Linked DNA regions of Caenorhabditis elegans. The protein of the gene in region 1 interacts with the protein of each later gene in a pairwise test. Each region holds a gene or a part of one and is shown in the gene's direction. Other genes may lie near its edges.

Region 1 (4,481 bases):
TGACATTAGGAAGTAAATAAAACTGTGATGTTTGTAACTTTTTCAAACATCGCATCGTCAATATTCTAGTCTGGTTTGAAAATCCCGCACAACTTCTAGATTGTATTTGGCATTTGGCACACCCCAAATGTTTGAATTGACAAATTTATGATCAGCTTCTATCCGTTTTTCTAGACAGAATTCATTTTAAGGTGGAGTACCGCCAGTGGGGATAGTGTTTAAAACTACTCCTTTGGTGCCTAAATAACCAAAATTCATAGTATAACTTTTTTGAAGGATGTTTATCATGATATTCAGTCATTCTGAATCGTTGTAAGTGCATTTAGATCACCACTGGCGCTTTAAAAAAAGCTTTGACTTGCAAGTCTTTTAAAATGTTAAAACTCTGTTTTTTTTTCATTTTTGGTAATGTTTCATGTAAATTATTGACTCCTGATCTCATTTTTCATGTGTGAGCGCGTTCGTCAAAAAAATATTTTCGCCTGATTATCCAGCTGTCTGAGATATTTTCAGCGGATTGGTCCTTGATCAGTTGGAAATATTTTATGAGATTTCAATCATTTACTTTCTCAACAATTTTTTGTTAGCCAAAGCTGTAAATTACTCAATTGAATCTCCGAAACATTTTCAATAAAAAATGTAGCAAAAGTAGAAATTGTATTTAATTTTACGTAGCTAATGTTCAACCATTCTATTAATACGTGTCTCACCTCTGCATGAAAACAATCGTATTGTAATTACCCTTTTCAAACCATGCATTCACAATATTGATCCCTCTCTTAAAAACCACCTGCTATTATAGTCTCAATATGTCTTCCGGATTACAAGACACTAGAAGAATGAGTATTGAGGAGTCACTTAGTTCAATAATATGACGAGCAGCTGAATGGTGTCAATCAAACGATTTGTTGCAAAGTTGCTCATCCGCTTACCGCAGAAGATAAACTTTTTTCAATTTTAGTTATTTCAAATAGTTGTGACAGGTTACTTTTCTTACAACTACTTTTATTTTGAACTTCGAATTTGAATTACATTTTTTTAATAGCTAGTTCCACTCGCAAATGTTTTTGTTATTTTTTAATAAACAATATTTCCTCAGATTTCACTACAAACCATAGTTGTAAATTTGGCAACAACGGAGTAACGATTTTTGGAAACAAAATATAAAACTTTCCAAATTTAAAATAAAATTCATATTGTTTCATTTAGACACCATAGGAGTGGTAGATTTCTCCATTGTTGCTACTTTTTCTTTAATTCTTTAAGTTTACTTATTCATGCACGAACTGAAACTCAACTTAAGTTGGTAATAGTCTACATATAAAGAAAATAAGAGCAATTCTAATTAATTCATCAGAAGTCATTGTAAAAAAATATAGGAAGAAGACGGGTCATAATACTTGATTATAAAACTTTTTTGTCTTCCTTCGTTAATTTGGTCTAATTTCATATTCCTCAATTATCAAGTTATGTAAGATTAAGTTCTTAAGTTATCAAATATCATATTAATGAATTGCACTTTCAAAATCATGCACATTTTTTAGACGTTCGAATTTTCTGTTCAGACAGACAGTGATTTAAAAGTCATGCAGAATAGAACACTTCCACCATAATCATCCTTGGAAACGCCTCTTTGGTTTTTTCTTCATACTCAAACATTTTTGATATCCCCGTTAGTCTTCACCGCTTTACTATACTTTTTGCACCCTTTTCTACGTAGTTGGGAGACCATTCGGTTCACTCTTTCATCTTGGGTCCCCCCGCACACTCTCTACCGTGCAGGCCACGCCCAGCCGGGTGATCGCAGTGGTTAGTCCCACCCACACTGGACCCATCACTTTGTCGTGTCATTGTTTCCATACCAAATCGCATCAGTATACCAACTTTCCAAATCTCAGGAAAACGACTCGAATTCTGATGGCTCGATTCTCGATTCTGGATCTGTGCCCGGACCTTGTTGAAGAGGCGGTCAAGATTGAACAACTTCACATTTCAACTCAACCATGCATCAAGCAAGAATCCACGGGTTGGTTCGTTTTCTATTTAATTTTAAGATAGATCTTAGTATAAGCTGTTATTACATTTGTGTGTACGTGTTTGCAAACCTTCTAGGAAAAAGTATGCATTTAGAGATTAGAGCCAAGGAACAACTATTTTGTTTTTGGTTTTCAAAAGAATATCCTTGCATATCGAAAAACTCCACTTTAACACTTAAATTCATATTAATACGATTATTCTTTAAGTCAAACTTTAGAAACATTAAGCCTTCACAATATAGCTTTCCAAAATCTCGGATAATTATAGAGCTCTAAATATATGTGCTATCCTAAATTCCAGTTACTTCTTCTTAAATTCCTAACTTTATTCTATCAAAAGCATACGTTTTAGGGTACTGTACATTTCTTCACACCAATTCCATTACCATATTCAAAAGCGCGGCGGCTCTTGTTATTATTATTATTCTTATTATTATCTGTTAAACATGCGCATATGTGCTTTAAGCTTACGGTAGCGCCCGCTGTTTGCCTCAGCCAACCGCACTTGTTGTCGTCGTTGATTGATGTTTGCCATCGTTCTCGTTTTTCGTATCAAATCCTCCGCTTGAATCCCCAACCGAACCTCCCCAAGCGTTTACACTTCACCTAAAATGTCAGTAGAGACGCGGCGACCAGCTGTCATGTTGTTGCGGATTTGTAAACCCTCAGCTCGTCAAAACTCATAATCTCTTTGTTGCACCACATGCTCCGGTCTTCTTATGCCTACCGTAATCGTTTTATCTTCAGATATCAGTGACCCAAGCACATCAATCGACACTACTGACACCATGTCCACCGATTATCTTCATGACGAGAGCATTGATGACGAACGATCAGAGAGCACATTGAGCAAGGTAACTAATCATTAAATTCCCTCTCTACGTTCAATTTCGAAGTATTCCACTTATTCAGGATTCCAAGTCACCATCATCCAGCAACTCAGAAGAGAAAACTCCAAGCTCTCCGAACGACAAGCCACCATTCTCCTACAATGCATTGATCATGATGGCCATCAAAGACAGTCCAGAAAAACGTCTCACATTGGCTGGAATTTACGAATACATCGTCACCAATTACCCATTCTACCGGGACAACAAGCAGGGATGGCAAAACTCCATCCGCCACAACCTCTCCCTCAACAAGTGCTTTGTCAAAGTTCCAAGAAACTTTGATGATCCAGGCAAAGGTAATACTCTAAATCGTTTTCCAATTAACTCATATTTTAATCCAATACATTTTCAGGGAACTATTGGATGCTCGATGCAACTGCTGAGGACGAGGTATTCATTGGTGGAGCAACTGGAAAACTGCGCCGTCGCCCTTCCTCTCTCTCGCGTGCTAGAATGGACGCCTACAAGCAGTACGGAGCAGCCGCTGCAAACCTCTTCCCATACTTCAGTCCAGGAATGCCAGCCCTCCCTCGTCACCCGTATCTGACTGCTCCAAATGGCTTTCTCCCTCGTCAAATGATGCCGATTCCAGCGATGCCTCAAGTTTTCGCACAACCTGAACTTTTACAATTATACATTAACCAACAACAAAGCTTATTCACAAAACTACAGTAATCCTTCTTTTTATGGCCTTCAAGTTTTCTTAACTCAGCATGTGTCTCCTATTAGTAGTTCGGTGTACCTATTTTTGATTTATAACTTATTTCGACCTAATTAACCTACACCAAGTTTACAATATTTCTATTCACGGGTAGCAACTTGCAATATTTTTTTCAAGAAATTGATTAGCGGTAACTTTTATAACTATAAATACATGCCCCTCTTCCGCTTGTCATCCTTCTCCCTCCACAACACCTTATAAAGATCTGTGTTCCTTGCTTTATTACTTGTTCCCATTCCGTGCTTGTAACACCAATTGTTATTTTTTCGTCATTATTGTCAACACCTTTATGTTTTCATAATAAATCACTTGTAGTCATGTGACTCTTTTTTGCCGTCAAACGTCGATTATTTTTGTCGGGTGTTGGTTACGCAATGGAGCTGTGCAAATCGGTGGTCATGGTATTCGAGATGCCGCCCCCGAGCAGATGCGTTTTTTTTTATTTCGCCACGCCGACCGTTTAAACTATTAAGATTAGATCTGAAAATTGAGACCAAACAGAGAATTTCAAGCTCAGATTTTGAAATTAATTTGGTGCGAGAAGTCAAATTTAGTTTTGTACAATCCAAATTCACAGACAGTGATTTTAAAGTGATGCAGAAAATAACACTTTCCCGGTAATCAGATTTGATGAAAAAAAATGTTTTTTTGACATTTTTGATATCTCGATAGAAATCTTCACAAGTACACAGAAGGAAAATATAATAGTTTAAAAGCTCTGTTCAGTCATAAATGGAGCAAATTGCGAAAATGCCCGAATATCACAGTGAAACTAAGTTTTATTTAAAATATTTTGTTTTGTTTCAAAAAAGTGGTAAATACTCAGTGTTGCCA
Region 2 (4,096 bases), on another chromosome or scaffold:
AGGGCGGGCGGCAAACGACCTTTTCCGGCAAATCGGTAAATTGCCGGAATTGAAATTTTCGGCAAACCGGCAAATTGCCAATTTTTTTTTGGAAATCTCAGAATTTCAAATTTAATCGGCAAAAATTGTACGCATCCTAAGAATGCTTCTACATCTATTTTGAAAAATAAGCAAATTCTATGAAAATATCCAAAGAAAACGGGGAAAATTTTCAAAAAGGCACAGTTTTAAGTCCTATAAAAATCCCTCTGAAAACTTCTGGCAAGTTGAGGTTTGGCAAACAACAAATCAGCAATTTGCCGAAAATCAAAACTCCGGCAAGTCGGCAAACCGGTATTTTGCCAATTTGCCAAATTTGCCTACTAAAAAATTTGCCCCCCTAATATTAACTTTTCAAATTCAGGACTCTATCACTTCCGGCTCCCCGTTCGGTACTGTAGTTGCTTTCCACGGCTCCCCTGGGTCTCACAACGATTTCAAGTACATTCGGAGCAAGCTGGATGATCTGAATATTCGATTTATTGGAGTCAATTATCCGGGATTTTCAAATACGCCTGAATATGAAGGTCAACAACACGCAAATCCGGAACGCCAAAACTTCTCCAACGCTTTGCTAGATGAGCTGAAAATCGACGGAAAAATTATCTACATGGGACACAGTCGTGGATGCGAGAATGCTCTGCAAACAGCCGTCGGACGTGAAGCTCACGGTCTTGTGCTCATAAATCCGACCGGGTTCAGACATCATCAGGGCATTAGGCCATTTTATAGGCTGGAGTATTTGGACTGGATGTATGGGCTTTTGCCAAGTTTTTTGGGAAATTCGATGATTTTAGGAAGTAAGTAAAAATATTTATTTAGTTCATTTCAAATTTTAAAAATATTTCAGTCTACAAAGCTATCGGCTTCAAAGTGAAATCTGGAGAGGAGGCCATGTGCGCAATGCGGTCCGTGATGAGGATGTCGCTGGAAGATCAAATTGAGTACATTGAGAAGTTGAATCAGAAGCATGTAAGTTTTCAAAAAAGCCTATCGTCTACGCCCTTCTAATTTTGAAAATTTTCAGACCAAAAAACTAATCGTCTTCGGCGGAAACGACCACTTGGTAGAAGAAGAAATTGTCCTAGAGAAATTGGAGAAACATGACGGTTTGGAGCATTTTGTGAGTTAACTTCTAGCATCTCTACCATAAACTTAAAATTTTTCAGAGATTTGAAGATGGAATTTCTGAAGAGGAAAAGTCAAAAATTATGGAATGTTTTACGGGAAATCAACTTGGTGCATCAGTTTTCGTGGCGAAGGACACCCATTTTCAGAATAAATCACAGGCAGAGCTGGTCGCTGAGTCCTGCAAGAAAATGTTGGATGCATAATTTTTTCGAACGTTTACTGGACTTTTACAAGCATAAATTAATTTTTCCTATACTCCCGACGGGGTCTAGACAACTAAAATCCTTATCAATTTTGACATATTTTCCGCTACAAATGATATCAACTACACAGACGACAATGTGGCCAACACTACACCCATCTATCTCCGAACGCTTTTTTCTTACGTCTCTGCGCCTCATCTAACCCCTACACTATCTCTTCAGTTCACCCAACCTTCTCTCTGCGCTCTCTTTAAATACGTGAACTCTCGCATTGTCCCCATCATTTCCTAGTAGAAAAAAATCCACTAAAATTTATTTTTCCAAATAGTTTTAGTGTAATGATAACGTCGAAAGTGTTTCTGGCGGCCTCTGCTGGCCCATCAAAAGTTTTTCAAAAAATGACGGAACCAAATTTGTGCCGAAAATTGGTAAAGTTTGAGACGGAAAGCGGGAAGAAAGTGGAGCTGGATGCGGTTTATGAGGTTAGTTTTTTTTTTTTGGATTTTTGCAATAGGGTACCCGGTCTCGACACGACAAGTTTTTGTTAAATTCAAAAAGGTGTGCGCCTTTAAAAAGTACTGTAATTTCAAACTTTTTTTCTGCTAAGTTTCATCAATTTTTCATAGTTTTCTTCACAATTTGTTCAGAAGTTTAAATATTGTTTATTGTATTATTAAAGTTTTTCGAACAAAAAAGTATACTTTTCTGCCGAAAAACTATAAAAAAGCAATGAAACTTCAACTGAAACACGAGTTAGAAATTACAGTACTTTTTAAAGGCGCACATTTTGCATTTACCAAAAATTTGTCGTGTCGAGACCAGATACCGTATTATTGCAAAATTTAGTATTCTTGATAGTACTGGAAAACTTGCCAAAAAGCAAAATTATCAGCTAAAAGTTAAAAAAAAAATTAATTTTGTGTTCAAATTTTCTGATGGAATGATTTTTTTAAATTATGAAACGAGTAGAGCCAATTTTATATATTTAGGACTCCCTTACTTCCGGCTCACCATTTGGTACTGTAGTTGCTTTCCACGGCTCCCCTGGGTCTCACAACGATTTCAAGTACATTCGGAGCAAGCTGGATGACTTAAAAATTAGATTCATTGGAGTCAATTATCCAGGCTTCACGTTTACAAATGGTGAGTTGATTTTCTTTAATTCAAAAAAATTATTTTAAAATAATTAAATTTTGTAGAGTACCCCGACCAAAAACATATCAACATCGAACGGCAAAACTATTCGAATGCACTGCTGGATGAGCTAGGCATCGATGGAAAAATGGCGTACATCGGTCACAGTCGTGGATGTGAGAATGCTCTTCAGACGGCTGTGGCTCGAGATGCTCACGGAATTGTGCTCATCAATCCGACTGGTCTGAGGATTCATAAGGGAATCAACCCGATTTCTAGAATGACAACTGTGGATTCAATTTATAAAATGCTACCATTATTCCTCGGAAATGCCATGATGTTGGGCGGTGAGTTTTTTTTTTGAAAATTTGAAAACCTCATACTAAAACCCTTCTGAATTTCAGTATATAAAGCTTTTGGATTCAAAATCACTACTGGCGAGGAGGCCGTCAACTCGATGAGATCTATGATAAATGTCTCGTTGGGAGGACAACTTGAGTTTATTGAAAAGACAAACGATATGAATGTAAGATTGATAGTTCATTATTTTGAAGCTTCATCTTCACAATTTTTAGGTCAAAAAACTGATTGTTTTCGCCGGAAAAGATCACCTCGTCGAGGAGGAAATTGTTTTTGAGACGCTCGAGAAGCATGAAGGATTGCAGCATTTTGTAAGTTTTTTTTTTGAAAAGTAGCTTTATTATACAATACAATTATTTTCAGAACATTGACAAAGAGATCTCAGAAGCCGAGAGACTGAAAATCCTTGATTCCTTTACGGGGACTCAACGTGGAGCTTCGGTTTTCGTCGCGCAGGACAATCATTTTCAGAACAAATCGAGAGCCGGCCTGGTAGCTGAGGCTTGTAAAGCCATGTTTGAAAATGAGAAAACGAGTAGAAATAAATTGTGAATCATGTAATGAAGACTTAGAAGTGATTTTTTGAATTTTTTGTGTATTAAAAAAAAAACTAAAAGTGATTTTTTGCAAGTTTTGAAAGTTTTTTCCCGAAAATAAAGTTTATTCAGGGGTGGGCGAAAATTTTTATTTTTTGACAATTTACCGATTTGCCGATTTGCCGCACATCAATTTGCCGGAAGTTTTTGGAGGATATTTTTTATAAGAAAAAAAACTGTGCCTTTTTGAAATTTTTTTCCCGTTTTTTCTAGATATTTTCATAGAACTTGCATACTTTTCAAAATAGATGTGTTGCCGATTAAAATTGAAATTCTGAAATTTCCAAAAAAAAAATGTGCAAAACCACAATATGCCAATTTGCCGGTTTGTCGAAAGTTTTAAATGCTGAAATTTGCTGATTTGCCGATAGGCCGGAAATTTCGATTCCGACAATTTGTCGATTTGCCGATTTGCCGATTTGCCGGAAGCAATCGTTTGTCGCCCACCTATGACTCAAACCATTTTAAATTGTCCCAATATCTTGAAACATTTTTAGATCGGCCTTTTTTCCAATTTAAAAGTACTCTTAACGGCGAAATTTTGCGATATATAACTGAAAAATACGGTTAAATTTTTTTAAATTAAAAATGAGGTGCGCCTTTGAAGAATAATACGATTTTAATCGTTTTTTT

Evidence for each region. Proteins that work in one complex are often made in the same cells at the same time.
Region 2: the proteins of fkh-2 (region 1) and Y73C8B.3 interact in a two-hybrid assay, tested with the Caenorhabditis elegans proteins (one large-scale study listed by BioGRID).

Annotation. Positions count from the first base shown.
Region 1 is NC_003284.9:3,739,691-3,744,171, reverse strand, and holds fkh-2 (Forkhead box protein fkh-2), read left to right. Parts: upstream 1-1,848; 5' UTR 1,849-1,917; coding exon 1,918-2,026; intron 2,027-2,430; exon of another isoform or gene 2,431-2,631; intron 2,632-2,781; exon of another isoform or gene 2,782-2,783; coding exon 2,784-2,890; intron 2,891-2,948; coding exon 2,949-3,222; intron 3,223-3,278; coding exon 3,279-3,601; 3' UTR 3,602-3,965; downstream 3,966-4,481. UniProt on the Caenorhabditis elegans protein: Transcription factor. Plays a role in embryogenesis and later development, perhaps acting redundantly with forkhead protein pes-1.
Region 2 is NC_003283.11:3,190,746-3,194,841, reverse strand, and holds Y73C8B.3 (AB hydrolase-1 domain-containing protein), read left to right. Parts: upstream 1-1,604; 5' UTR 1,605-1,711; coding exon 1,712-1,855; intron 1,856-2,362; coding exon 2,363-2,516; intron 2,517-2,572; coding exon 2,573-2,854; intron 2,855-2,911; coding exon 2,912-3,033; intron 3,034-3,082; coding exon 3,083-3,178; intron 3,179-3,230; coding exon 3,231-3,419; 3' UTR 3,420-3,540; downstream 3,541-4,096. Other genes in the region: Y73C8B.9 (Transposase), read right to left, coding at 891-966, 1,265-1,284; Y73C8B.2 (AB hydrolase-1 domain-containing protein), read left to right, coding at 404-839, 890-1,011, 1,067-1,162, 1,209-1,373.